Linked DNA regions of Lepisosteus oculatus. The protein of the gene in region 2 purifies or fractionates together with the protein of the main gene of each other region. This does not show direct contact. Links are inferred from orthologs where the notes say so. Each region holds a gene or a part of one and is shown on either strand. Other genes may lie near its edges. The genes, in order: psma3, stub1, pkma and hypoxia-inducible factor 1-alpha.

What was found.
Region 1: the proteins of stub1 (region 2) and psma3 purify together in Homo sapiens (affinity purification with western blotting; 3 studies listed by BioGRID, with this or other methods). This does not show direct contact. The link is inferred for Lepisosteus oculatus from reciprocal best matches to the Homo sapiens genes STUB1 and PSMA3.
Region 3: the proteins of stub1 (region 2) and pkma purify together in Homo sapiens (affinity purification with western blotting; 3 studies listed by BioGRID, with this or other methods). This does not show direct contact. The link is inferred for Lepisosteus oculatus from reciprocal best matches to the Homo sapiens genes STUB1 and PKM.
Region 4: the proteins of stub1 (region 2) and hypoxia-inducible factor 1-alpha purify together in Homo sapiens (affinity purification with western blotting; 3 studies listed by BioGRID, with this or other methods). This does not show direct contact. The link is inferred for Lepisosteus oculatus from reciprocal best matches to the Homo sapiens genes STUB1 and HIF1A.

The regions. Positions count from the first base shown.
Region 1 is NC_090703.1:4,537,157-4,544,252, forward strand, and holds the start of psma3 (proteasome subunit alpha type-3), read right to left. Parts: upstream 3,012-7,096; 5' UTR 2,894-3,011; coding exon 2,873-2,893; intron 1,869-2,872; coding exon 1,786-1,868; intron 1,333-1,785; coding exon 1,209-1,332; intron 1,076-1,208; coding exon 974-1,075; intron 522-973; coding exon 448-521; intron 1-447. Other genes in the region: mipol1 (mirror-image polydactyly gene 1 protein), read left to right, coding at 5,564-5,655. UniProt on the Homo sapiens protein: Component of the 20S core proteasome complex involved in the proteolytic degradation of most intracellular proteins. This complex plays numerous essential roles within the cell by associating with different regulatory particles.
Region 2 is NC_090714.1:6,186,777-6,194,358, reverse strand, and holds the start of stub1 (E3 ubiquitin-protein ligase CHIP), read right to left. Parts: upstream 3,022-7,582; 5' UTR 2,915-3,021; intron 1-2,914. UniProt on the Homo sapiens protein: E3 ubiquitin-protein ligase which targets misfolded chaperone substrates towards proteasomal degradation.
Region 3 is NC_090700.1:61,163,170-61,170,965, reverse strand, and holds the start of pkma (pyruvate kinase PKM), read left to right. Parts: upstream 1-4,783; 5' UTR 4,784-4,798; coding exon 4,799-4,830; intron 4,831-7,796. UniProt on the Homo sapiens protein: Catalyzes the final rate-limiting step of glycolysis by mediating the transfer of a phosphoryl group from phosphoenolpyruvate (PEP) to ADP, generating ATP.
Region 4 is NC_090703.1:7,462,623-7,469,635, forward strand, and holds the start of hypoxia-inducible factor 1-alpha, read left to right. Parts: upstream 1-4,005; 5' UTR 4,006-4,296; coding exon 4,297-4,328; intron 4,329-7,013.

The DNA.
Region 1 (7,096 bases), on a different chromosome or scaffold from region 2:
TTTTACTCTGCTGATTCAGGCTCCACACACAGAACAGCAGAGCCTTTACGTGTGCAGCAGCACCACAACTGTGGAACTCACTGACAAATCTACAAGAGACTGTGTGAGATAGAAAAACATAAGACTATAATTACAGAAAGACCAAGCATTTCACTAAAGTATTTAATGCCAATTTTCATTTAATTTTAGTTTACTAGGGCCGATTGCTGGACTTAAACAGAACTATAAGGCTTCTTTATTATAGCAGCCATGTCTCTCTTTTCACAATATTCTAACTGTACATCACAGCCCCAGATACTGTATTTTACTAGATTTGCCTACAGCTGAAACTACAATACACATGGAAATTCAGTTCAACTTTGTCATTTACTTACACAGGCACATAGTACAGTGTATTTTAAAGTAGTTATTCGCCACTGTTAATAAACAAAGATTGAATCCCATTACCTGCACCCGAAGGGCCTGACCGCACTGTACAGGGTGTACGCGTGCACGTACATGGCCACTCTGTCAGCAAGGTGCTGCAAGAATAAGACAGAAGTTGTAATCAGACTATCACTCCATGCTACTACCCCAGAATAAGCCGACCATACACGGAATCTCTTTAAAATTGTAAAAATAAACAGTGCAGAAGTTACATAATACAGTTCAGTTGCTGTTTTTACCAAATGTTGCCTTCCTTGTGTGAAGGCATCTGTGAAATAAATACATCTTCTACATGAAATCTTGCCTCTTGTCAAAGCAATATCAGAAAAAAACACCATTTTCTTTCAAGAAGGTATTTCCTCCTAGTAAATGTGATCTGTCACTGTGCGTACTGGTAACTTCTGTCAGTTTCTACTTCTCTTTCGAATGAAGAGGTCAAGGACTAAACATCTTTCGTCAGAAGTTACACGAAAATGAACCATTCTTTTTAATGGGATGATAATGGTGGCTTAGGGACTATTTTATGGTTGTTAAAAAAATCTCCTACCTTCAAGGGAATGTCATGACCATAATTGGACCTGAAGTTGGAAGCCTCCTCTCGCGCAATTTCCGAAAGAGATCGCGCATCTGCCAAGAGTCCTGCCACCGCCTGTGGGGCAAAACGAAAGGCATCTTTATGCTCCTTTACCATCTTTTCTAATGGGTATTTTACATCTAAAAGTGTGAAAGAATGCCAACTCGCAGCCTAGCCTTTTTTGGTGAAATGCTGAAACAGACATTACCATTCCCACATGCCGGTCGATGTTGAAGATGCGTTTGTTTGAACCCTCTTCATACAGCTTGGAGAGGACAAGCTTTTCAACTCCAAACACCACCCCATCTTTGCACCTGATCCCAATGGCTGTGCTACAGAACGGAAACAAAAACCATTTTAGTAGCAGCAATGAGAGCAAATTCTGGCTGGGAGAATCCAAAGAGTATGAACAGACCAGGTGTTTAGTCCCTTCTTAAAAACCAATGGACTGAAGCAAACAATCAAAAAATATTCTGAGCTTCTGATGGGACTAATATAGTACACTGCACACACACACTTCTCTATCTTTGTACCCACTGAATCAATATTTCCTGGAGCCATGACATCACTTTAGTTTTACCGCTGAAATGCCAGTGGAAACTAGTCTTCAAAGTCATTGCCATGCAGCAGCTCACGACAATCACATGTGTTTTGCGCAGCACTAAGTATCTAACAGGCACATCAGCAGCAAAGGTGTACAAAACGTTAAGCATGCCTTTGCAATTTTCTTCACAACACCAACTCCTTTCTGCATTCACAGTTCAGAAAGAGGAGACAAGACTCACCTGCTGTTTTCTACTGCTTTCATGGCGTATTCAACTTGAAAAACTCTCCCGTCTGGGGAGAATGTAGATGCAGACAAATCATACTGAAATCAGAGGTGTACAACCACAATCAGACGGGAGGATTGAGCTCTGTGAAACCACTTCTTTCAGAGTTCATACATCACATCAGTGTAGCTCACATGGGTGCCATCTGTGCTATTCAGCCATAATTCGAAACAAATTGGTAAATTATTCTGAGATGTGTCTGTGACAATCACATTAATTCACGTCAAGTCTTTGTCATTTTGCTTTACGAATGAAAAAAAACAACAAATGGTAAACGTGGCATCCCCGTGCCCCAATCTAGGTATTAGACAAAAATATAGTACTCTTCTGTGCAGAGTTGTTTTAACGAGCTTAAATAGAGAAGCCTCTGATTGCACCCGGTGAATTACAATTATAATATCGAATTACACGTTAAAATATAACAATTCAAAGCACATCTTTTCCATTTCTGCCTTGTGTTCCACCTTGTGTTGAATATTGTTTATCATTTCTACTCTTTCAAAATGGAAAAACAACAATACAGGCAACGGTAACATGACTTAAAACCCAATCATTCCCACAGACCCCCCCCCGCCCAAAGTCATGCTTGCCTTCCTATAATTAAATAATGTATAAAATAGGAAGGAAATAAAATATAAATATAATAGGAAGGAATGGGTAGTACTGACTCTATGATGAGTTGCTAACAAATTGCTACAAGTACCAATCGCTTTCACTTTCACCATCGCCGACCGAGCTAGTGACTCAGCAAGCATACAAGTCCGCACAGTCCTCCGGACAATCGTTATCAGCGCCTTGCAGCGTATCTCACAGAGCAAAAAAAAAAATAAAAAACAAAGTACAAGAGAGACAACCTCTCCGTGACAGACACGTTCATGACTGAAAGCACAACAAGAAGCCACCGAAATTCAGCGGACCTCACCGCTCACGTACGGCTAGCTAAAAAGGCCGGAAAACGCTTAGTTCTAAAAATGCCCAACTTTGCTAAGATACAGTAATTTATCCGCCATAATGGCAGACATTTCAAAGACTCGTCGCTTACCCCGGTGCCAATTGAACTCATTTTGGGCTACAACGTCAAGAATATATGTATTGTTGCCCCTACAAGCTGTTCTTTCTCGCTGGCTAGGTTTGTCAATTTCCCGACTTGCCACACTCTCCCACCGGCTAACAACGCACAAGCCGATTGGCTGAAATCTCGCCCCACTGGGATGAGCGGCGCTGCCGGGACTGTCCTCGGCTCTTCGGACAGCGCCGCCTGCTGGTGGAAAGGACAAAACGGCCTGTTTCCCCTTTGGAAAGCCGTCACGTTGTACGGGGTTGTGGCTCATCAAACTTCTTGCGATTCTGCTTCACGCAGAGTGGAGAGTCCGTTTGTACCACGCGTACCTTCTCGAAAAATACAGCAGAAATTCCGAAGCAATGATTTCATATATGTATACACTGTTTATGATTTGTGATGCGTTATAAATGTTACATGTTGTTATGTGTTATACTGTGCATGTGCAATAGAGTGATGTGCATTGTTTTTCTTATTTTTTGTAATAGAAGAATGTGCAATGTTTTTCTTTTCTTCTTTTTTTTGGTGTTTGCATTCTATTTAAATGTACGGGAGTGCGTGGTGTCCATAAAAAAATTCCCTCAGGGGACAATAAAATCTTATACTAGTTCTGTCTTTTTCAATTAAAAATGCTTTTCTCATACAGATGGTTGGAAATGTATACAATACCAGATTTGAAATATATATGTATATATACTTTAACATATTATTTGTGTCATACTTAATTGAATAAGTCATTTTCGACATCCAGGCTTGTAGTTTTGTTTATGTGCGATTGTTCCGTATACTCAGGTCGCTACAATAACAGGTGGGTGCTATCAGCTTCCCCATATCTACCACACATAATAAAAATAATTAGAAATAATAGAGAAACTCAGGAGCAATGCATTTCAAAACAAAAAAATGATGAACAATAGTTTTGGACAAGAATAACTATGAGTAATGTTAAACTACTTTAAACTACTTACATTTGTATAGCACGTTTTAACCCAAGGTGCAATGTAAGTTCATGTAAATGTGTAAAGTATTGTGAATGTTCCTAAGCAAATTAAAAGCTAGTTCTAGTGTGACAGATTCAAGATAATTATTCAAAGGAAAAGCTCAGATCTACTGATGGACCAAATCCCCCATAATGTTAACATTAAGGTGGATTAAGAAGGAGATACGCCTCATTTCTTACTACTGTACTTTTTTAAAAATACGTTTTTTAAATACGTTTCAATAAGTTTTGAAATAAGTATTTTCAATAAGTTTTTATTGAAACCCCAGAAATACAAAAAAAAGGAGACAGAATATTAAAATAGATACAGAAATAGACACTTCACACCCAGGGGAATTGACAAGCTAAAAGTTATACTTTTTACATATTTTCATTGTATGGAAATATCTCCATTGCCTTTTGATTCTTTAAATTTCTAATAGAATTCAAATAAAAAGGGAATTCAACTTTAAAAGCATGGATAGGGTGAGCAGTATTAGACCATTTACTTTTGTGGCTGAAGTATTCAGCCCAAATAATGGCTGACTAGTGTACTTTCCCTTTCCTTATCCAAAGCGTTCGACTGCCCTCTTCAGGATTCACAGCGCCCCACTTGCCTGCAACCAGACACCTCACTCACTCCAGGGCATTTTCTCTCGTCGTCTTCCCAAGTGGAAACGTGACATCAGCGGAAGAAAAAGTTTCTCTGTTAGGACACAAATCCGAACAACAACAACAACAACAATAATAATAATATATAGAAGTTACTAGCCGTGATATAAACAGAAAATCACCATCGGTCTGCTCGAGAACCTGTCTTTTTCGGTAAGTGATGTGTACCGCTGTGTTTGTTGTTTCCCAAAGTGTAAACAGGTGACTACAGTTTTAATCAAGAAAACTACAAGTACACATGTCGAAGAACCTACAAGTTGTGAAATCGCGGACGTTGTGCTCATGACACGATTTTCAATAACTCTTTTTTTAAATAGATGCACGTAGATGTGTCTCGCTGTTCCAAGAAAAAAAAAGTTAAAAGTATGATTTTGTTTTTAAACGGACATAAAGTAGGATAGGATAATGCACTGGAGGATTAAAAAAAATACATTTTAAATATCTGTCTCCCATTAAAAAATTAAACCCACCTGAAATGCGAAAAAAAAGGTGTCTGTTCTCAAATTATGTTTTATATGAAATCGATGCGATAGTTCTGCAAAAAAGAAGCATATATTGCATATATTTGCAAAAAGCTGAAGGCTGAAATAATTCGTCATTGTATATCCTACCAAAATACGAATTGAGTGAGAGAGAAAAAATGCAATTCACGAAGAATTGACTTAAAACAAATCCAATGAATATTCGTTTTCACAACCAGGCTCAGATGGGAGTTCTGTTCATCTGACGTTCATTAAAATACTTTGTAAAATAATGTTGGTAATATCAGAACCGCATGGGTGGTGTGGGGGGAGTTGAAAGTTTCGACCACGGTGACACGTATTTGATTGTTAAAGATAAAAGGTGCTCAACAACAACAACTACATTGTTTCCAGAACAATTCCGCAGCCGGTGACCTGGAAGTGCTCGCGGTTTCTGCTTCGGCCCAGTGCTGCTGGAGACGCTGTCGGGGGGGAGGCAGGGGGTCTGCTCTGTGAGAAACACCCCCCGGGCATGGAGCAGGACAGGGCTCTGCTGGGCCGATGCACGCTAGCAGCCGGGCTCCTGACTTGCACAGCGCCCTTCAGAGGGTTAAACGGAAAATGGCGAGTTTGCAAGGCGAACTTGCCGAAATGTAAGTGCGCTTGCTGCTGTGGTCTCTCTGTTGTTGGTCCCGGTCTTCAAACGCACGGCTGAGACCGGTGCAACAGTAACAGGGCGCCTCGGCTCTCCTGACCCAAGAGTATCGGCGAAGGTCGAACCGGAGGTGCAATTTCGTGTCTGTGCGACTCGCGTTTGTGTTCCGCTCGCCTGTATTGTTGACTGTCCAGCTGTCACTCATCATGTATTTTACACCCAATCCAAGGCATGCTTTATGGCATTGCACGTTATCACATTTTTTACTTTTCAACGTTTACTTAACCACAGTTTTTTTTTCTCTTACAGCTAACATTGTTTCTGTGCACCCGGCGCTATTGTTTTACATTTACTTTATATATGATTGTCCTGTTAATAGTGTATACTGTCAATGTATTTAACATTCTCATTCACTCCTAATTTTTCCATCAGTTGTGAAATCACTATTTTCTCTTGTTTTTCGAAAACTTTAAACATTCTCTGGAAAGTATCCTAGCTATATAAAGTAAAAAAAAAAAGAAACAGTAAATGTTTCACAGGAAAAGTATTCGACCTAATTGCTATAACACCCTCGTGGTCGGTAAATAAAGAATGAAGTACAGTGTCCCCATATTGCAATTAGTTAAAACTGCGTAAAGAGAGCTAGATGGTTTTCGTTTTGCTGATCATAGGAAGAGGTTATGTCAGACCACAATCTGTTTTAGAAACAAGATATTGAACATGTTGTTGTTCGCTTGAGCAGCGGAGAGGAACCTGCAAAGACTGGTTTCTGGTTACGAATATGGCTCTTAAAATGGTTTGTTTTGTTTGCTAATGTCAGTCTCCGCACTAGATAATGAGTATCCCTAGAGTTAACAGGTTTATCCAAGAAAATAGTTTAAACCTTATGCTGATTTTATCTTCCTTAGCCCACTGAATCTAGGCAGGTGTGAGCCTGGCCAGTACCTGGATGGTTGACCTGGGAGAAATTAAGGTTCCTGCTGTAAGATGTGTTAGAGGGGCCAGTAGGGGGCGCTCATCCCACGGTCTGTATGGGTCCTAGTGCCCATAACTTATAGTGGATAGGACACTATACTGTAAAAAGGCACCGTCCTTCGGTTGCGATATAAAACCAAGGTCCTGACTCTCTGTGGTCATTAAAAATCCCAGGGCATTTCTTGAAAAGAGTAGGGGTGTAACCCCGGCATCCTGGCCAAATTTCCCCCTGTCCTTTACCAATCATGGCTTCCTAATAATTCCTATCTATGAACTGGCTTCATCACCAGAAAAGGGCTATATAAGTGTAAGGAATTATTATTATTTAGGAAATGCTCATAATCTGTTTTCCTATAAGACTGCAAAAACTCCATCATTGTTCATTGCCTGAGAAAACCTTCACACTTTGCTCTCGGGATGAAATGCCAGATCAGACAAACAGGTGCCAGGGAACCCACTGAATC
Region 2 (7,582 bases):
ATAAGAGGGCCGCAACACGTCACTGAAGTTTTGTTGCCTTGTTCCGAAACGCACAATATAGCGCATACCTGGAAATGTCCTCTATTTTGTGTGATGTAAATTGGAGGTTTTACAAGTTACTGTGGAGATTTTACTTTTTATTGCGGTTTCAAACGCACTCATCAATGGTTATTCTAGCCCCGAAATATAAAGATAGTGTTGCAGTTCCCCTATAAATATCCTGTTAAAAACACAAAAAGTGTGGCATCACCTATGCCCAAAAAGCTTTTCTAGCAAACGCAACAAAACTTTTCTATGTCGTGCCATTCCTGCCTGAGCACCCCAGGGTGCTTCACAAAATATCAGCAAAAGCAAAGCAAATAAAAGTCCAGGTACTGTAACTGTGAACACACTGCAAAGTAAAATATTCTCCTTCTGCATCAAAACGAAAAAAACTCAAAGATATGTGCTTCATCAATGGTAGTGCAATCCCTAGCTTTCTCCTTCAGTGCTCCTCAAGAGCACTTAAATAGATGAAGATAAAGAAATAAGGACACCATTGTCAATGCTTGGGGAAGTCATTACTTGAGACAAGGGTTGCATTGACCCCAATTATCACCAATTTTGAGCTACCTTTTGCAAATTCTTAGAATATCACTAATTAGGGTCTTCAAAACGGAAAAAAAAAAGTTTTAAGCCGCACACCTGTCAGTAGCTTAATTACAGCCAGTAAACCTGTGAAGGATGCTTCAATTGTGGCACTTAAAGGTTCTGCAGTCCTGCTAGAGAAAATGGTATTTCTAAAATGAATTTATGTTAATCTGATATACATGGAATATAGTTGTTTTGCTCCTACTTTATTGACTGAAAATAAATTACATTTTGCAAAGCTTTTAACTTCTTTTGTGATTATTCACATTTCAAAAGTTTGTTTAAATTGCACATCTCTAGAGATCAGCTGCTTTAATTGCTAATTTGCCAGAATGGAACTGTTTATCCTTCTAAACAGAACTCTATTGCTCAGTTCTGCTATGGCAGATTCAATGAAGACTCTAGAAGAGGAATTAACTATATATCTACCATCGACATGATTAAAAACAGCACAATGCATTGCTGTCATGTGAAAAAAAAACATACAACAGTTCAGGACAAACTAAAGCAATGCAACTGAAGATAAAAGCACACACTGAATTGTAATCCATAATACAGTATTAGTTCATTTCAATCAGGAAAGCCACATGAGATATAACCTAAGATGGGTCAGCATTTCAAATAATGGAAATTCTTTCATCGAGCTGCACAGCCAATGAAAGGAACACCAGCCTCTCGGGTCTCTCTTGGATACCAGCGATAATGATGTTTGCTCAATCTTGGTAATGCAATCAAAGGGGGTTACAATTCAATTATGTCCAAACCTGCAGCCAGATACTCTTACCTACATCTGGGTTTAATTAAAATATATGAAACCTTTCCCTGCATGGCTTTTACACTGTACCTCAGGGACCTGTACTTTTTACTCTCGTCTATATGAAACGTTTCGACATACTTACAAGGCTACAGCGGTAGGTTTCATAGGATGTACTAACAACGTTTCCTTCTTCAGGAAGGAAACCAGGAATAAGAGCAGAGGCTCTTAAGTATTTGATCTCATATATACAGTACATGTCAGCAGATCCTTCAAACATCAAAACTTTATCAAAGCGAAGTGAATAGGGCCGGAGGCCCTAGTCTATAATCTTGGCCTGGTCTGGTTAACAGATCGCTGGCGAACAAAAATTATGACAAGAATTAGCCTATTTTTAGAACCTCCATACTATTGGCACAGTCCATTGGGAAGCACATCCACACACAAGCCCAACGAGATGCCAGTTAAACCAGCAAGCATGATAATTATGGGGGACACGCAGACTCCACACAGAAGGCACCACTTCACCATGAGGAAAGTAGAAATTTCAGAACACTTCTAGTCGTTTTGCCTCCTAATTTAATGGCATAAAAGAGCCATACATCTATAGAGGGAAGTCACTAAAACAATCGTGTTATATTAGTTACCATCACTGGGCTTCCGGAGAAGATCCCAGGACTGACAGATAACCACATGGGTGGTTATCATAACTAAAACAAACGTTTTTTCCACGTGGGGTCGACTAAAATATACATCTGGAACTAAACAGGACTCTACATTAATTACTTCGATCATCCCTATGACAATCGATGCGGCTGAGAATTTAGGATCATGGGTTCTTTGGCGAGTTGTAGGCTTCATGTAATCAGCCTCAGGAGACCAGTTATCAATGAGATCTGCCCTGCATTCCCATAAAAACGCGTGTACCGAGAGAAAAAACGCTAAATTTCACACACTCGCTGTGGTCTGCTGACTAATCAGTCACCGACGGGTCCGGGGCGATATTCATTTTAAGCAGAAACACTTATTAACTGGGCTGCAAAACACGTCACGTCTGCTGACCATCTCGGCCATGCTTATACGTGAAGTGCCTCATCAACTAACCCCAAGATTTCTAGAATAAGGATCTGCAACATGTATTTCAGAGAGTTAAAAATAATAATTCACTCTGGGGGGTGTCTGAAATAAGGTGTAAGGTCTCGTTACTTATCATCAGTACACGTAGACGAAAATTAACGGCAATATCCCCAACAGAGGTTTTTCCTTCTATAAAGATGGAAAAGAGATGGCACCGGGACTGTGCAACGGGTCCGTCGGTATCAACACCATGACATTTTCGGTACCAAATTGCTGTTTACAACAGGTAGCTACCATATGTCTGCAAGCGTGCTTTCGCCCACTGTTGGCCACTAATACGTATATTTCATCGCTTGGTTTGATCTATTGCTTCTCCTCTAAAGCTGATGAATCGCTATCCCAAAGGGAAAGACCGGCACCCCATCCCTCCCTCCCCCGCCTTCCTGAACCTACCGGATAGCTGAAGCGCAGCCTTCCCCGCTGCCGCAGAGGTGTCCCTCGGCTGCTGTCAACAGGCAAGGTCGGGGTTCCGCGCAGCCAGTTGGCCTTGACGTCCGCTTCACCTCACGTTTTGCGGGGGGTTTTTCTTCCCAGAGAAATATGTAGACTCACACTGTGGAGAAGAAATGGGCGATCATGGGTCAGGGGTGCTATACTCGCATTGCGTTTCTCAGAAAATAACGGCATTTGGGGCTTTCACCCCACTCCCGGACTACGAGTCTCATCCGTCTCTTGTTTTGATGGCTGAGCCGCTGTCGGAAGTTCCTGCCCGAAGAGAGTTCGGGTCAAACTCGGAAGTAAAACAACGGAAGACGACCATAGAGTGCAAAGCGATTTACCGCTGTCGTTTAACCCTTTATTTTTGCGAGAAAATGGATGAAATAGAGCATAGCGGGTGTGCTTTGCCGGCTGATTGCATTCGTTAGTCTTAACGAGCGGATTTCAAACGTAAATCACCGCTCTAGGTTGATTTAAAATACAAAAACATAGACCGGGAGAACGTTTGCAAACCGAGGAAGGGATTAGTCTATAGCCAGTTTGGCAGTCACTAGTCAATTGATCCGAGGATGTCATCCAGCCATTTCTTAATTTGTAATTATAATTTATGTCTAGGCTGACAATTCAAATATGTGTTCCAATTCAATTCAATAATAAAAAAAAAGCTGACAGTAATTCTAGACATTTTGGAAGTGTGGACGGTCAACACAAGCAACAGATGTGCTGTGCTTATGGTGGACCTGTTGACTTTAAATATATACTCAATAGCGTCATGATTTAGTATAATTATAGCAGCATAGTAACTTAAAACTATAGACCAGTCAGAGTTTGTTACAATTAACGGTTTGTAATGGAACGGGGCTTGTTGAAAACATAACAACATAAGAAAGACTCATCTGGTTTGTAACCAACTCAATTGCTACTGTAGCTAGTAGTCAATTAGTTATCACTTAGTAACTAATTGATGTGAGGATCTTATCCAGCTGTTTCCTGGCAACCAGGGTATCAACATGGATAACACAGCTTATTCCATTTCCCCCACAAATCTTTATGTAAAATGCCTCCTGTTGAAAGTTTTTACTGTCTATTCTGAAGAGACATTTCTCTTAAGCCTGCAAAACATTTTGTAACTTGATGATCAAAACTGCATGTACAGTATTCTTAACAATGTTATCTTTTAATATAACATCCCTTGATTTATATTCTAAAGATTTAGTTAATTCTCTAACTTCTAAGTGGCTGCTTGTGCCACCCAATAATACTATTACACCCAGCATTATTTTAGAACCGAAAAGCTCAAACCTTGAACAAAGCTCTGAGCAAGTAAAAACCATTTAGCCAGCAGCCATATCACCCTGCAACTCACAACTGGCAACCCACTGAAGCTAAGCAGGTGTGAGCCTGGTCAGTACCTGGATGGGAGACCTCCTGGGAAAAACTAAGGTTGCTGCTGGAAGAGGTGTTAGTGGGGGTGCTCACCCTGCGGTCCATGTGGGTCCTAATGCCTCAGTATAGTGACGGGGACACTATACTGTAAACAGGTGCTGTCCTTCGGATGAGATGTAAAACTGAGGTCCTGACTCTCTGTGCTCATTAAAAATCCAAGGGCGTTTCCTGAAAAGAGTAGGGGTGTAACCCTGGCATCCTGGCCAAATTTCCCATTGGCCCTTACCAATCATAGCCTCCTAATAATCCCCCTCTATGAATTGGCTACATTACTCTGCTCTCCTCCCCACTGAGAGCTGGTGTGTGGTGAGTGTTCTGGCGCACTATGGCTGCTGTTGCATCATCCAGGTGGGGCTGCACACTGGTGGTGGTGGAGGGGAGTCCCCATTACCTGTAAAGCGCTTTGAGTGGAGTGTCCAGAAAGTGTAAGCAATTATTATTATTATTATTAACATCAAGCAAATACTGATCAAATACTTCCCTAAGGAAGAAAGTTCAGTCCTGTCCAATATCAACATAATTGTTAGGCTTCAGGAGACCCATTGACGTGGAAACTGAAACTGCTAGTCTTTGCACATTCACTCACACACGTGCATTTTCTGGGAACAAGGTGATGACAAAATTATGATACCCTGTATATACATCAGATTCAGACTTTTATTTTACAGGTATCAATGTGTACAGAAGTTTAGTATGTGATTGAATCCAAGACAGAAATAGCAATAGGCAACATGAATCTTCAAATTAACCTCTTTGCTTGTTAAATATGAGCAAATGCTAGCTAGGGTGCCAGGCTTCAGTTGTGTTCTGTAATATTCCAGCACTCAGACTGTGCTCCAGGGGGCAGTCTTGTCCTACTTCAATACACATCCACACGCCTTTCATGCAGTGTTCTGTATCCCAATGACCTTGCATTGTTTATCTCCGAGGGACTGACGTGTCTTTCTCCCTGTGGTGCTGTCTCTTGTGTAGTTTGTGGTATTCAGCAGATCATGTCACTGTCGCGCTGCGCTCGGTCTGAAGTGATGAGCTTCCTTTTTCATAATAAGCGTGAACGGACTGAAGAAAACAAAATGCATTTAAGTTAAAATCTCAAATTCCATGTATAAACTGCATGATATGAATTCACCTTGCGAAATGTTGAACATTGATTTATTGCTCAAGTTGCTACATTATGAATACGAAGGAGTGAAATTGTTTTTGAATAATTACTATTATTTATGTGCTCTTAAAAGTGGATTGTAAAAGCTGCAACACCAGTTGATGGGGAGTTTTTCCACATTCGGTCACTAAGGTGTGGAACAAAAGCAACAAAAACAGACCAGCAAAAATAAACACATTCAGGTTTATTGAAGTTGAATGCATACAGCAAACTATCACCATCAGTTTACAAAGGGCTTTGCATGTGTTTTCCATTAAACTACACTGGTAAAACTTATTATCCAATTCTGGGAGGAGTACTACTGCCAAACCTTCGAAAAAGCACTTCATTCAGATGGATCCAGTCATTTCTTTTGGTAAATTTTGTAAATGAGGATTTGTTCTCAGGTAATAGGTTAAATAAAGGAATTTAAAAAGACTCCCTTTCACCTGGATAAAGCTATTGATAGCAGTGAACCATTTTACCCATGACTATTTGCTACTGGCACAAGAAGACAAGAAGCAGATAGCATGAAATATATGGGATCACCATCTTTCTACTAATATTATGGTGCAAAAAAATTAAAGGAAATTAAATTTTTTACGTTTTACAACATAAAACAACAAGTAACGCAGCCACTGCAGTTACAGAAAAAACTGAGTTAAAAGCACACCACTAGATTTATTTAAAATTACCCCGACACCTAGAATATACACAGAGTCACACTGTTCTAAGCAGGATCACAGTTAATTATAATCTTTAGACAATAATTACTGATAAAAAAATGAACCTTAGAGACAGGTTTTTAGAGAACAATCAGCAAACCTACCACCTGAAAAATACAGTAACAGCTAGGTCCAGTCCCTCACAGCTGACTCCCATTTACACTTGAGACCCCTGAAAACAGAGACTGAGAATCATCACTGTTGCACCAGTGAGGGTGGCTGGAAAAAAGACAGTATGTCCCTTGTCCCAGTTTGTGATCCACTCTTCCGGGTGACAGCTGAACACCTGCATGCTGATGACCAGTAGGAGACTGGGGTGGAAGGAGCCTGAAAGCGAACATCTACTGTACATTAGCAAACAAGGACTGCGTGAGGGCCATGGCTGAATCTAATGGGGGGCGGGGATGATCCATAAAGCAGGCCACTTTGACCAGACTAAGGCCACTTCAGCTTGACCTCCACGCCATAGGCGATGAAGAGGAGGCAGGACACCACGGTGCAGCTAATCATTTCCCTGTGGCACATCGTCTCGAACTCCGTCTTGATTAAACCGTTCAGCATGCAGAGGTGGCAAGCAGGGAAGACGATGCAGGCGGAGAGGACGATGACCATCGCCAACCGGGGGACAGCCTTGATGAACTTCTCACAGCGGTTGGACTTCTTGGAGTGGCCCATGAACTCCAGGAGAACCGTCAGCCCGGTCATGGAGAAGCAGAAGCACCAGACGATAATGCACCATACTTTGGCTGGGGTGTTTCTGGACGGGTCTCTGTTAGCAATGGCATTGCCCAAGGGGATGACCTTTTGAAGCGCGGTCAGGGGGTCCCCAATAGGCGACACACTGTCAATGGTCCTAGTGATTTCAATTTTCATGAGCTGGGACAAGACCACTGCAATGCCAGCAAGGGCGATCTCGCAGAAATGGACGATATTCAGCTTAGACGACTTGAAATCCTCACCCATCTTTGCTGCTGATGGCGTCTCCTTGTTTGTGTCCCTTTGCTTCTGCATGGTAGAATGAGAGCTTTGTTTTACCTTTCTGTTTTTCGTCTATTTAAGTGAGATTCCTAACTCCTCCCTTTTCCTAAGAAATGATCTCCCCTTGTGAAGTACCCAAAGCTCCGACAACAGCAAACATTTGAGCGATGTGCAGCTGTTTTTCAACAGGCAACCTTTTAAACAGAGACCAGCTTCAGTTTTAAAATCAGCTTTTTCTCATTCTGAAATACTTTGCAGGTGGTAAGGAAGATCGCAGGTCAATGTCCAGCCTATTAATGTCAAAGGCCACAATAAATGGGCTACAGCAAAACA
Region 3 (7,796 bases), on a different chromosome or scaffold from region 2:
TCAATCATCAGTTGTGGCCTTGAGCCCCCTGTGATAATGCTAAAGTACTTCTACTGGGAGGGTGCAGAGCAGAGTCAATTTAAATTTGTATGACCTCCTACTGGAATCTGTAAGTCAGACATGTGTTTCTTGAAGAATGTGTGTGCCTTTCATTCCTTCATGTCAGTCTGGAAGGTAGGAGACAGTGGAGTTAAATATAAACTGACCTTTTCAAGTTGGGTGTAAAAGGAGAAACGTGGATATTGCATTCTAAATAAACTTTAAAATTAACCAGAAGCTAAACAGCAGTGAGACACTGCACAATAAATATCCCATATAAAAACTGCATCTCTCTGCTTTAAAACAAGAGTGTAACTAGGCTTGTGGAGACAAAGCCTACACAAAACGACATCTGAAAACTCTATAGACTATTAGAGACACTATTATTGCGGAATGATTAATGTGCTGCTGATGAAGACAATGGACCTGCGTGTTGCTATGATACAGAGCTACAAAAAGATTATTCCAAAAAAAGATGACAGAATAATAAAATGTGTTTCATCTTATTTCACACCACTATGTCAATTACGTGTTATAACAATAATTGTCATCATTGAAATTCTATTAATTATAATAATTATTAAAAATATGTTTTAATTATTAATTTAGATGGCCAATATAATTAAATTTGTGTTATAGAACACAACACAGACTTTGATTAAGGCTGTTTGGACAAATTGCAGCATTTTTCCAACACATTTTGTTTTACACACCTTCCAGTGGCATCCTACAGAAAAATGGATTATTCTCTTAGAAATTCTGTACTGAATTAACTTGTAACCTCCCAAAAAGGAAATGACTGAAGCTGATAGACAAACAAGCACTCAAGATGGGATAATCATGTTTTATATATGGAGAATGTTAAAACAGTCTATTAGGGTGTCATATCAGAAAATGTCATATCTCTGTCCTTCTGTGATACTGTTTGTGATACATGGTTTGTTTCCATGACACCAGTTTAGTGTTCACTGCCATGCTTGTTCTGTGTCCATTGTTGCATTATGATTATTGCATGAGCCTATGTGGAGCCTCAGCTTCCTTCAGCTGTGTTTTTCAATCCTAGTGAAGCCCCTGTCCACATCACCAGATGTCATTCTGCAACAAACACTGAAGCAGAAAATATTTTAACAGAAAACAAAACTCAGACATCTCCACTAAAACAGAAAGAATTGGCAACTCAAAGGGATGTACAAAGGGCTGAAAGACAGATGATGTCTCTTGTTACAGATTTCCTGTGGTACTGTTCTACAAATTTTTGATCCATCTATCAATTTTCTAACCACTTTATCCAGGACAGGATCACTGGGGAGCTGAAGCCTATCCTGGAAAGCTGTGGTTTCAAGGCAGGGGCAGGATACACCCTGGATGAGACGCCAGTCCATAACATTGAACATAAAGACACAAATACAGTCACACTCAGACCAGGGCCAGTTTCCCTAAGAACCAATTCACCTACCGCTATGTGTTTAGACAGTGGGAGGAAACCAGAGCACCTGGAGGAAACTAACATGAACATGGGGAGAACCTGCAAACTCCACACAGAAAACACCCACTTTCCACACACTGTGCCCCACATTTTCAATACAATTCATTCAAATAAGGGGCTGCATGTTGACATGGGAGTTAGACATGCTTCCTGGCTTCGATTCTGGCCTGGGTCACATTTTGTGTGAAGTTTGTATGTTCCTTCTGTGGTCATGAGGGTCTTCGATAAGTGGTCCCAGTTTCCTCCCACAATTCAAAGACATGTTGTTTAGGTTAAATGACATCTCCAAATTGTCCCCAGTGTAACATAACATAACATCATAACATCACTTTATTAGCCCTATACAATTTCTTGCATTAGGAATTTGTCTTTTCACATACCCCAGCTTTTCTCCATGGAGACACAGACACACAGACAGGGAGAGAAGCTTGGGGTTAGAGCGCAGGGTCAGCCATTACATTACATTACTGCCATAGTACTTAAACATACTCCTCTGTGAAGTAGATCAATTACTATGTCTAAATCTAACATGAATAATACTAGCAGTGTGATGCACAGTTGCTGCTAAAAATGTAGGATCAATTTTGAGCTAAAGGCCTAAGAAATTAGTCATTATGCCAAGTTCAAAGAAAAATAATTCAGCACAGTAAAATAATAATGCAGTAGTACGCAATAATTGTCATCTGCAACTTTGTTTGCAAAGTTGGCTCAATTCATTCCCCAAGCATGATCATAAACAGAAAAACCTACCACACAACACAAACTATATAATCACTTTAGACCTCGCAAAATACGTCTGGAATGCATAGAAGGCTTCAATTCAAACAAACACACCTTTAGCTATACACAGAATATGACTGAATTTAACCCTTGTCCTCCCTGTGGTTCTGAAACTCATGGAATGTTATCTTATATTTAAGATCAATTAAGAATAAAAAGGTTTATTGAAAGTATACATATATACCGTATGAAACCATTGCAGGTGCTTCATCTTTGGGAGACAGTTTTCGTTTATAAAACATTGAAAGCCTTGCTCCATCCCTGCTAAAAAAGTTCAATTTTACAAATCCTGCCTTCAGACATTTTGTATTTTCTCCATGTAACAGAGGATGCTGCTCTGTGTTCAGGGTCCAGTTTTCTCTGAAATCATGCTTTCAGTTCTGGCTATATCTCACCCTCTCCTGCCATAGCCTGGCATCTGGCAATAAGGAGTTGGTCTTTTTTTAATACCCCACTCTGCTATCTTCCACTCTTGGAATGAAACTCAACCTTCTGTCGCTGAGCCATTTTGTCCACTGCATTCACCTCAAAGGGCTTAGCAAAGAAGCACAGCTAAAAATGGGCAGAGAATAGTTTATTTTTCTGGTACCTTCTATTCAAGCTTTTATTTTAATTCCCAAGAATGAGCATTACCTTTTCTATGCAGTGTGTGACAGTTCACACACTATTAACATCTGAGCTCCAGTCAATATACACGGAGAAATAAAATGCATATACCTGTACTGTATTTGCATTTCCTACCAGTCTGACCCTCCAGCATCCCCAAATCCTCCCACCCTCCCCTTCCATTTTCTGTGGGCCCAGACTCACTCCTCTCACGGTAGCCTTGGTTACCTATAGAGACATATTCTAGTGCACCACCACCTCCCACTCTCCCCCCTCCCCACAAAAAGAATAAAAGCTAAAAATGCACACACATTCCTCTCCCAATTCACACTTACCCTTCTCGTGAGGTAGAAAGAGAAATGCTGTCTTTTTCTTTTTGTTTAATTTTTTGTTGTGGCACTGGGCTCCCAGCTTTCTGTCTCTGTTCCTCAGAAAAGCACAATGGTAGCTGGAATCGAATCTTTCTACCCCTCTTCTATTCTCTCTCTTTATGTCTGCCTAGCTGTGTGTGTGTTTATCTATTGCAGATCTCTGCTCCTTCTGCTGTCTTATTTTGCCTGACAACACAGCCCGTTGTGGGCATGCTCAGTGCGTTTCAGCCACTGCTGCTCATGTGACTTCCAGCTGACTGGGCACAGAAAGACAGGGAACAGGCTGGAGGAGAGAAACCACTTTCAGCTAAGGGAAGCTATCCTTCTTGTCTAAAGGGAAAACTGTGGGTGCCTACTTATGGTCTTACAAACTCTGATGTTACCGAATGTCCCAAGAAAAGAACTGGGGCCTCTCGTGATTATTTAATGTCTCAGAGCATTCAGCTAAACAAGCCCCTGGACAATGTTGCAGACATCAGTAAGATTCTCTCTAATTGACTACAATCCTTGTCTGCTCACTAAGTCAGATGCCTTTAAAATGGGATCCTATAGGAGATCATTACTAGAACTGGATTAAGGTGTACTAAGTTATCATTAAGACCAACTAAATGTATCGATAAATTAATATTGCTGGGTGTCTTTTCAAGGAATGAGCCAATATTGATGAATATGTGCAATAATAATGATGTTTTAGCATGGAAACTTCATCTGAAAATATCCTTTAAGAAACAAGTAACCCCCTTGAGCCTAAACAGTGTCCTTAATCAGTATTTACCCTCCTTAGCAGTAATCTGCCAGATAGAAGCACTGGCAGATTAACTGAGTTCCTGAAGACCAGGAGCATGGCTACAGGTGAGGATGCACGCAGTTCTCTGTCTGCAGACATCTGCCTGTGCTCCCGGGACAAGCGTAGCTGCATTTTCACCTCCCCAGCGTGCTGTTCTGGGTTAAATCTGAGCAGAAGCATTATAAGAAAAGAAACAGCTTTTTTTCATAACTGCAGCTCCTGACGTGTTTCTCCCAACTCAACTCCCTGTCACCAAATGAACAATGAAGAACAGCCACCGCTGAACAATCCAGGTGCAGTCTTAAATGGAGCAGGTTCCATACCACTCTCCTACAAAGAAACACATTAAGCTAAATGTGGACAAAATACACACTATTTTTTTAAAGTTGGCTTTTTGTCATTTGGGACTGGCTCAAATGCCCATAAGGGTGCTACAACACCTAAGAGAAGCAGAAATTTACTGTGAGCTGACTGTGGGATTTCACATGTCCTGTAAGTAAGCCACCTGGATTTGAGTTTGTTTTTTTATGAGAGACAAGAGATTTAGTGCTTAGTGGAAAGAGTTGGGGATGGACTTGGGGCCACAGGGTGAACCTGAAGATGAACCGATTGGTTCACAGGTCTGCCAATCAACTTTCCAGGCATGGCCATTGGCTGTGCTGAGCTAGGTTGAAGAGCAGATGCAGGTTGAGGTGGGGGTGGTGGAGACAGGGGTAAGGACAGGACACGATGGGCAGTGGCAGCAGCAACAGTGCGAACAGGTAACGAAGGGGGGGACAAAGGGATACCATGATACAAAGACACTGTTTGGCAATAGAAATCACTCCATGGCAGAAGATTAGTACCATGCAAGTTTTTACTCACCACATACAACAAAGTATGTGCAAGAGTTCCATATTTATCACATCAATCCACCAAGTTCATGCAAGCCTAATAATTTAAATCTAATTCATGCATTTAAGCTGTAAGTGTGAGTACAATAATAACAGATTAGGCATGTCAGTTTTGGGCTAAAGCTTTTTCACCAAAAACTACAGAGCACATTAGTGGAGATGTAGCTACTGATTCCGATATATTAGGAAAGAGGCAAAACAATGTTCAGTGGTTGAGGTAAAACTTCACTGGCGAAGGAAGCAGAGATACTAAAGTTAGAGAATGCTGTTCATCTGATGGTGTGGGGAAAAGACTTTAGAACTGTAATTTCTGAAATGCTAGACTGATTTAGCTTGCAGGAAACTCTTTCTTCTGTGACTAAAATCAACTGATTTCACTGATGAGGCTTTTGTTTTAACATTTTGTTTGTATTTATTGGCAGTCTGCTGATTTGTTTTACACTGGTAAATAAGTAAAAATTAAATGTTTTTTATTATTATTATATTAATCGTAGAAGAAGTATTATCTTACTTTTTGCATAAACATTATCTTTGAAAGTATTACATGTAGTTGTATTGTTGTTAATAATTGTTTTCCTACAGTTTATATGGCTCACTTGTAAATATAACGTGTGCTATTATTTGCATTACTGTTGTAAGGCGATTAGGTTCGATGCTTTTACGTTTCAAAACAGAACATTTTAGCACCATCTAGGGTAAATGTACTGCAATAAAACTATTTTATTACGTTCATTTGAACACAAGAGGACGCTAGTGCTCTCAGATGTGCTTAAAATTAATCGGAAAAGGAAAGGAGGAGGTCAAATTCGTAAGTTATTTCTACCGTGGGAAAACGGGATAAAATAAAAAACGTAGGAAGAGAAACTGTCTTTACTCATAAAATTAGTTCCAAATGACCTTCTTCTATTATAGCTTTTACCAACGTGAAAAGAAATGGAAAAAACTGAGAATGAGAGGTTATTATTGTAACTATACTTTTACATGAGAGGTTTTTTTCCTCATGAATCAGCAATGTACACGTATATATAGGGTAAAAGCACATTAAATATATTAGATAATATTTCCTGTCATTTCTATAGCATTTTTCATCCCAAAGGTTCTCAGAAATCCTTACATCCTCCACCGAAATGCTACACCCACCGTGTTTATGTGTTGACGTGCAGCTGTCATTATCCGCCAGCATCCCCAATTCAGAGTAGCTGAGGTGAAGAACTGGGAATTGTCTCACTCAAGGGGAAATCAAGGGGATTTTTAATGGAGACACAAGGCTGTCCAACCCCAAGATGGAATTTAGCCAGGACACTATAATAATACTAATAAACTTTATTTTATATAGCGCCTTTAAAGGTGGCTTCTCAATGTGCTTTACAGGGTGACAATAACAATAAATAAGAAGAGTATAACAATAAATAAGGAGAATGCACAAGATAAGACACAATTACAATATATAGAGGAGACCGTGGATGGTGGTACTAAGAAGAGCAGAGGGGTGAAGAATGGAACCAGTTAAGTAAAGGCTTTTCTGAGGAAGAGGGTTTTGAATCTGGATTTGAAGGAGTTTAGAGAAGGTGACTCTCTGATATCCTTGGGCAGATTTCCAGACCTTGGGGCTATAACAGGACAAGGCCCTGTCACCCACACAATGTAGATGGGCTTGGGGGACAGTAAGGAGGGCAGAATTTGAAGAGCGGAGGTCGCGAGGTGGGGAGTAGGGCGATAATAGTTCAGACAGGTACTGAGGTGCCAAGCCATGCAGAGCCTTATAGGTGAGCATGAGGATTTTAAAGTCTACACAGAATTTGACCGGAAGCCAGTGCAGGGACTCCAGGACAGGAGTGATCCTGAACACTTGCACTAGACCTGGTCAGGATTCTGGCTGCTAAATTTTGGACATACTGCAGTTTGTTCAGAGTAGATTTTGATACCCCTGCGAGTAGAACATTACAGTAGTCAATTCGAGAGAATACAAATGTGTTGATCAGCTTTTCAGCCACAGTTAACGTGTGTTAACATCTAGTGTTAACACTAGTGTTAACATCACTACTCTTTCAAAAAGTGCTATCTGAAGTTATATGCAGGATGAGGATGGCACCTCCCACAGGTGTCCCTGGTCACCATGACCACACTGAGCATCCATCCATCCATCCATTTTCTAACTGCTTTATACATTATAGGGTTATGGGGGAGCTGGAGCCTATCCTGGCTAGCAAGGAGCACAAGGCAGGATACACCCTGGATGAGATGCCAGTCCATCACAGGGCACATTCAGGCACAGACACACACACTCTCACCAGGGCCAATTTTCCCACATGCCAATTAACCTACAAGTACAGTATGTCTTTGGACATTGGAAGGAAACAGGGCATCTGGAGAAAACCACCTCTAACTTGTGGAGAACATACAAACTTGAAGCACATAACACTCCAGGTCTGGAATGAAACCCAAAGCCCCAGTGCTAAGAGGCAGCAATGCAAACCACTGCATCCCCGTGCTGCCCCCCCATGGTTTAGAGGAAAGAGCAACACCTACAGGTACAGTAACACCAATCTCAGCAGCAACAACCTGGTGATGCTGGCCTATTGTCTGAGCCAGCCTGCTTAACTTGTACACCACCCTTACATTGCTGAGAAACTGGATTCAGATCAAACTAAAAGAAACTAAGAAATAAGTTCAGTGGGTGACACAGTGACACAGTAGTTAGCATTGCTGCCTCACTGCACTGGGACCTAGAGTTCAGTTCTGGACCTGGGGTTCTATCTGGTTGGGGTTTGCACGTATGTGTGGGTTTCCTCCAGGTACTCCGTTTTCCACCCACAGTCCAAAGACAGACTGGT
Region 4 (7,013 bases), on a different chromosome or scaffold from region 2:
TAAGAGCTGAACAGCAGTTAGTGGACCGATAACTTCAAGCTCACTTTTCATAAAGGAAAGGAAAGGCTTCATGTTAAATCTGGGACACTGGAAAAAACCAACCAGCTTCAATATGTTTTAACGTTTTAATACCTCTCAGGGCTTTTAAAATCCAGTATTCACCAGCAGACTTCCTGCTCCTGTTGGGTGGACTTGATATGAGAGCTGATAATTGAGCAACCCTTGATAAATAAGATGTCTTTTGCAGGCATTGTTTTGACAACATGAAAGAGCAGGAATTCATTCATGATTTATTCCCCACACAAAGTTGCAGAGAGTTTGGCTCAGATGATAACGTGTTGAGAAATCCAAACTATTGCCAGTAATCCTATCACTTCACTTGGCAGTTAGTGAAAGGGACTTTAAAACAAAGAAACCAGGCCTCTCAAGGGGACTTTTCATAGAACCATTGGAAGCACTACTTTCTGACCTCTGTTTTTAGCAGTGAGCACTGGAACGTTTGAAAACCCAAAAGCATTTTTAGACTCCTTTTTTTTTCCACCTCAACTTTGCCTGTGCTGAGTAATAGCTGGGCTTGTGGCAGGATCTAAATTTTAACCCCTAACTCTGGCCTCACCAGCCTCGGATGATGCATGCTCATGAGACTCCCCCCCTCCTCCCACACGCTGCGGTGTCCTTCAGACCGGGGGGCAGAGAGGGGCTGTTTTCCATGCAGGTGCTCACTTCGGGCCAGCAGCTCCCGAATGACAGGGACGCCATCGACAGGGAGCCAGGCAGGGAGCGAACGGCCCCACGCAGAGTAACACCGATTCCGCCCCCCCCCGACTGCGCTGCTCTCGGTGTCGCTGGCCCAGAGCCCAGCTCCAAACAAGACTGGAGACGCAGACAGCTCGGATTCCTCTATTGACCCTGAGGAAAATCAATAGGCAGACTGTGGACTGAGAAATTCAATACCTTTCTGCCTTCTCACCCCCTCCCACATGGATTATATATTTTTTTCTGGAAATATTAATGACTTGGCAAACAGCTTATTTGTTCTGAACTGCATGAAAGGTGCCTAATTCTGATGATCTTACTTTGGGAATGCTCCAGCGCAACTTGAGGAGCCAAGAAGGTACTGCAGTGGTTGGCAGAGTTAGTTATAACGTACGTGTTTAGATTCCTCTCTCTATAAAAAAAAAATGCTCTCTCTTCACAGAAACGTCCATGTGGGACTTCACATTTTTTCCGTGCTCTGTAAGTGCCAGGCTGCGCAGTGTGTCCCACGCACGGCTGACACGTTCCTCTCCTCAGGGAAGAGTTCACTTTCCACGACAGGCAGACTTTCCTTAAGATGCAAGGAGAGGCTCAAAGTCACTGCCTTCCTATTCTACCGCAGGCCATGCAGTGAACAGGCTAGCACCCATCTGCTCTGCATTACAGACTGAAGCGGATATTTTAAACCATGGGGAGTGCTTATGTTCGTCTTGATTTCAATGAACACATAAAGTTAAAGATCACCTGTTGCTATTTTAAATTAATTGCAATCAAAGTGAGTAGATACTTTGGTCTATTTAGATAAGTGTAGAGGAGACACATATTTTGTACAATACCAAGTACTGAGAACTCTGCACAGAAGTAGTCCAGCATGTTTGCGATCAATTCGACAGTGCTCACAATATTCACGCGATATAATTCCTTTCACACATTGTTAAGAGTTCATCTTTCCACAAAACAACCTAAAAATCCCGTTTCGCTGCTGTTTTTCCGGAACAAACAGAACAGAATGAGCGGGCGGTTTACATACACCTGGGCTTATCAGGGGAAACATTACATTCACAGAGTCAGACTGTTTTCACAGAAGAAAGGCTGAACGTCTGGAAAATACTATCAAACCTGTTGGATGAAATGTGACCCATGAAGAAAGGAGATTTGATTATTTCTGTAGGGAAATGCATGTATTCTCAGAGGTTTGGGCGAATTATTTTATCATTTTTATATTTGGATATATAACCTAAAAATAACAGGTCAGTGTATATATAGATCTCCTAATGCCTTCTTTCAAAGGCAATGCTACTATCTCCATCCATTTTCTAAACGCTCCATCCACCACAGGGCTGTGGAGCAGAATGACTCTATCCTGGCAAGCTCAGACACAGGCCAGGACGGTGCCAGTCCATCGCAGGGCAGACACACAGACACAAATGCACATCAGGGCCACTTTTTTCCCATAAGCCAATTAACCTGCCAGTATCCCTTCGAGTGACCTGAGTACTGGTGAGACCCCACACAAAACCAGGAGAACATACAAACTCCAAGCAAGCAGCACCCCCAGATCCGGGAATCGAACCCAGGGCCCAGCCGCTCAAAGGGAGCAATACAAACCGAGCCACCGTGCCGCTCACTAGCACTTCTGTCACCTCGTGCACCCAAGTCACTGCAGCTCCCCGCCGTGCTGAAGAGAGACAGGGAAGTGAGCGGAGTTAGTGGCACCATGGGGCAGAGTGGTGGCCCTCTGGCTAAGGATCTGCTCCTGTTGCTGGAAGGTTGCTAGTTCAAATTCCATGGCTGGCAGAGGAATCCTACTCCGGTGGGTCCCTAAGCAAGGCCCTTAACCCCAGCTGCTCCAGGGGTGCTGTATAAATGGCTGCCCCTGTGCTCTGACTCCAAGCTTCTCTCTCCCCACCTGTGTGTCTCATGGAGAGCAAGCTGAGGTATGTGAAAGGACAAATTCCTAATGTAAGAAATTGTATATGGCCAATAAAGTGATCTAATCTTATCCTTTATGAATGTGTTTGGGGACCTGTGTCACAAATGGAGCTAGTCTGCCGGGCAGGCCTCGTGCTCCATGCTCTGTCCTCAGCAGGGCAGGTCTAAGGCTAACCAAATTCCACAAGCTGCATACACGACACACCGCTCACTGACGCTGACTGGCAGCTAAACCCGTAAGGAGATTTCAAACAAAGCTAATTAGGGAGCCCAAAAAGACTGATAGCGGCAGTCACATGGCCTCTTCATTCATAATACTTGTGTCTGTGTGTGTGAGAGCAGGGGGGTTAAATGTACCTGTATTCATTTATTACTTCCTACTATGTTTTGTACCTGTATTCATTTATTACTTCCTACTCACTATGTTTTAATTTTGGAAGCGTTGTTACTTTAACCTGTCTCATAATTCCAAGCATTGTTTTCAATTGTTACTTGCCGCAGACTTTTGCATTTGTCGGTCATGTCGGTAGAACACGTTTTAAGGCAAAGTAATCTTAGAGTATCTGTCTTTGGCTTCATATACTCCTAACCTAATGTAACATTAATTGTCAGGACCCCAGCAGATTTAATGCGATGCAATGTAATTTAATTCCCGAACACTATATTCCCGAGCATTCCTGAGGGCAATTTTAATCTCAAGCATGCACTCAATTCAAAGAGTAAAACAGCCAAAAACTACAAAATCAAAACAAAAACAAGATGCCGGTCAGACTGCAGGTGACATCCTGACTTTAATATTTTATCAGACTTCGATATAATATAATAGTACAGTTATTTCACCCTCAAAGGTATATTTATTAAGCAGATTTATTAGAATGTTTTAGTGTTATGAATGCGACTTAAATTGTTTTTTATGGGCTTCAGGTCTGAATGAACTGCTTTTTTCCGACCAGTATCTGTACTTAAAAAAAAAACATTTTAAAAATATGACGTTTAAAATATTAAGAAATGACAAAAGGTGTGTACGGCATTTGCCTACAAGACGTTCAAATGTTATGAAATAATGTCATTTTATCAACAGGTTAATAACATCTTTTAACTGTTGCCAATGTGTATATATATATACGTTTACCGAAGGGTTAATCATCTTCATCTTTAAATCAAACCACGGAATCACTTCGGCCTGACGCAACCAGCGACGTCCCCTGCCACATTTCTGTTTCGGGGAACGCGCACGCATTTTACCTGAATTTTGATCTCCGGGAGGCTCGGCCGGGGCGTGCGCGGCCCCGTCCTGGAGGCATGTGACTGCGCGCCCCCGAGAAGGAGCGAGTACAAACTACAGTGTAAGGAGCATCTCGGACGCGGCGGAGAGCTTGGACCGTTTCTCCTGAACGAATCGCACACACCGGCTCGAAACAGATGTTGTGACCTTCAGGCACCTGGAGGTTTGACCTCTTGCTACCACACACGTCAAAAATAGTTCTTAAAGTCAGGGCACCTTGGTTCGTTTCGTCTTCCTGTTGGATTATAAACCGTCTTTTCACTCTCGGGCCTGGGGGAACTCTTACTGTTTGGGAGATCCTAGCTGACGTCTTTCATGCGATAATGGACACGGTCGTAGTCACAGAAAAAAAGAGGTGAGTTTGAGCTTTCTTGTTGTTCACGGGAGGGGGGTTGTGTCGTTTAAACTGGCCCCTGGCTCCGTCCCCGCTGTTTTCATGTGCTGTGGAGAATTTGCTCCCCATTTTTGTGTGTGTATTTTGTCGTATGAATCATTTCTTGGCCGTGGCCACGTCGCCATTTTGTCTGAGTGTTTGGTATGGCCGCGCAGGACAGTTCTGGTGTGATTTCGTTAAGGAGAGGGGGGGACACTTTGATTGATTCGGGACACTTGTTTGATATATCTCGTTTTCCTGCAGCCGGGGGCTGCCTGTGAGGCGAGGCGCGGTTTGTAGCCCCCCTCGTCCTCCTCAAACACGGAGGGGAGATCGTTGCAGGAAGGAAATCCCGAAGTTGTGCGCTAAGTAGTTGCCTGGCCCCTTGACGTTGTGCTGCATTTCAGCCGCCGGTTTCCCGAAGAATCAGAAATAAAAGTGAGACAGACGTCGCTTGGGAACTCGATAAGAATGTCAGATGATTTGCTGTGCGGGCGATGCTTATTAATACTGCATGGGCGCTGGGTCGATGGGGGAAAGGCGACCGGCTGAAGAGATGAATGGAGGCTTTGGTGGTTTGAGCCCAGGGTCTTCGGGACGTGTTCCCCACGCCAGCCCCGGGGAAATGAACCAATTTTCGTCGGGTCTTTTACACCTTTCGCGAATCCGTGCGCGATCAGGCTTTGGGGCTGTCTTGGCACTCGCGGAGTTCACTGCGTGTGTGGGTTTTCGGGGGTCCCTCGGGGATATGGAGCCCAGGATTTTGGAAACAACCATGTTATTAGTGTTGTGATTGAAAATGGGAACCCTCCTCTTTCGTGTGCCGGCTTGAGGAGCTCTCTCGGCCAGTTCTTCATGGTGGCCCGGAGTGAGTGGAGAGCGGGCTGGCAAGTCGGACCTTACAGCGCAGTTACTTCCCGATAATGATCTCTTTCCATCTCTTGTTTTGCCAGCGATGGGGGATGAGTAGGGCAACAACAACAAAGAAGGTGTTGTGTACAGGTAGACGGTTTTATGAAGATGTTGTAAGACCTTTTGTTGTTTTGAAACGAGATATTTTTAGACATTCTTCCCTGTAGGAAGAGGGGTTGTCATATTGCCATTCCAAAAAAAAAGAGCCTAAAGAAATGAGCCCAAAAAAATGAACAGTGCGTTTGTTTTTTTTTTGCTTCAATGCTTCAATGCTTGATAGGTGGTGAGCGTTGCTGGTAACAAGGCTTGAAAAAAAGACTGGTGTTTCTGAGAAAGAAATTGTCACTTCTGCTCTTAGCGTATAGATAAGAGGCAAGTGTCTTTGCGTCACAAATATAGCCAAGAGGCTCGGTTTGGTCACCCTTCCAGCTTGTAACAAAGCGGTTTAGGTGGGAAATAAGAGTTTTGAGTTTTGTTTTTAATGGCAAGATGGAAAACTGGTAACTGTTTTCTGTCGGGGCAAGTAAATCTTATTCCCAAACTTTCCCGAGTAAGTTACAACAGCTGACTGCATGGAGCAATATCTATCATGGAAATACTTAGTTCTTTCTTGATAGCAACGAGCTAAATTTCGAGCAGGCGATGAAAACGGCTCGTTTTTTTACCTTGCCTCATATTTTGAAACCAAAGATTTTATTCCAGGCAGGCGTAGTAGTAATCTCAGACGGAAATAGGCGAGTGAGTGTTTTGGATATTGCATAAGTTTCACGGAACAGTGTGGTGTTTGTACAGTTTGTGCTGATGTCCCAATAAAGTAGTAAGAAAGTGAAGGTATTGAGTGTTTATGCTGCCACTAGGAAAAAAACTTGTTAGAGACACTGGCAAAAGAGCTTGTATTTCCGCAGTGCATCAAACCCTGATATCATGATATATGCATGTAGTATTAACAGATCAGGGGTTTTATCAGCTTCTGGCTTTGGAAAAACAATAGTTTATTGATGACAAAATTAATGGAACAACATAGAGCAGAAAATGAAATTCTCTGACTTAAAAGTCTTTATGAGCAACAAGGACTATAGTTACAGGGACACAAGAGCTACAGTTCCCAGACTTTTGTCTGAAAATTCATAACCTCTGGCAGAACATCATGTAGAACAACTTCTTACATTTGCCTGAAAATATTCTTGTCCATTGCAACATTAAGTAGGCCTACATGCAGTGTACAGATACCAAAAATGGAAATGCAGCATTGGCTTGATTCTCCTCAGATTTTCCCTAGCTTTCGACTCACTAACCCACTATCAGTCATGTTTCTAATTCTTGAGAGTACTTTGTCATGAGCAGCACCATCTGGAACCATTCTGCAGATGCGTAGGCGTCTCTTGTGTTCAGTCCATTTTCCCAAGACCCTTCCCATCAAAGGGTGTTGAGTCCGCCGTGTGTACAGGGCTGACGCAGTGCTCCAGCTGAAGCCTTGGTCCACCACTTCACATTGGCCTGGTTAAGAACCCTTCCTTTGGCTTTGTCTTAAATTCTGGTTGGGAATCCCTTGCACCTATTCACCTGAGAAATGTGGTAAAAACAAACCCAACCAAGAACCAGTTTGTTTTCCTATCGGGTTCAAAGAAACTATGGCTTCTTGCTGATAGCAAGAAGAAATAAGTTATAAGACATCATGACTTCACTTAATACAGTATTTGTTTTACTATAGTATATAACTAATTTATATCTGATTTCTCAAATGTGTGTTACCTT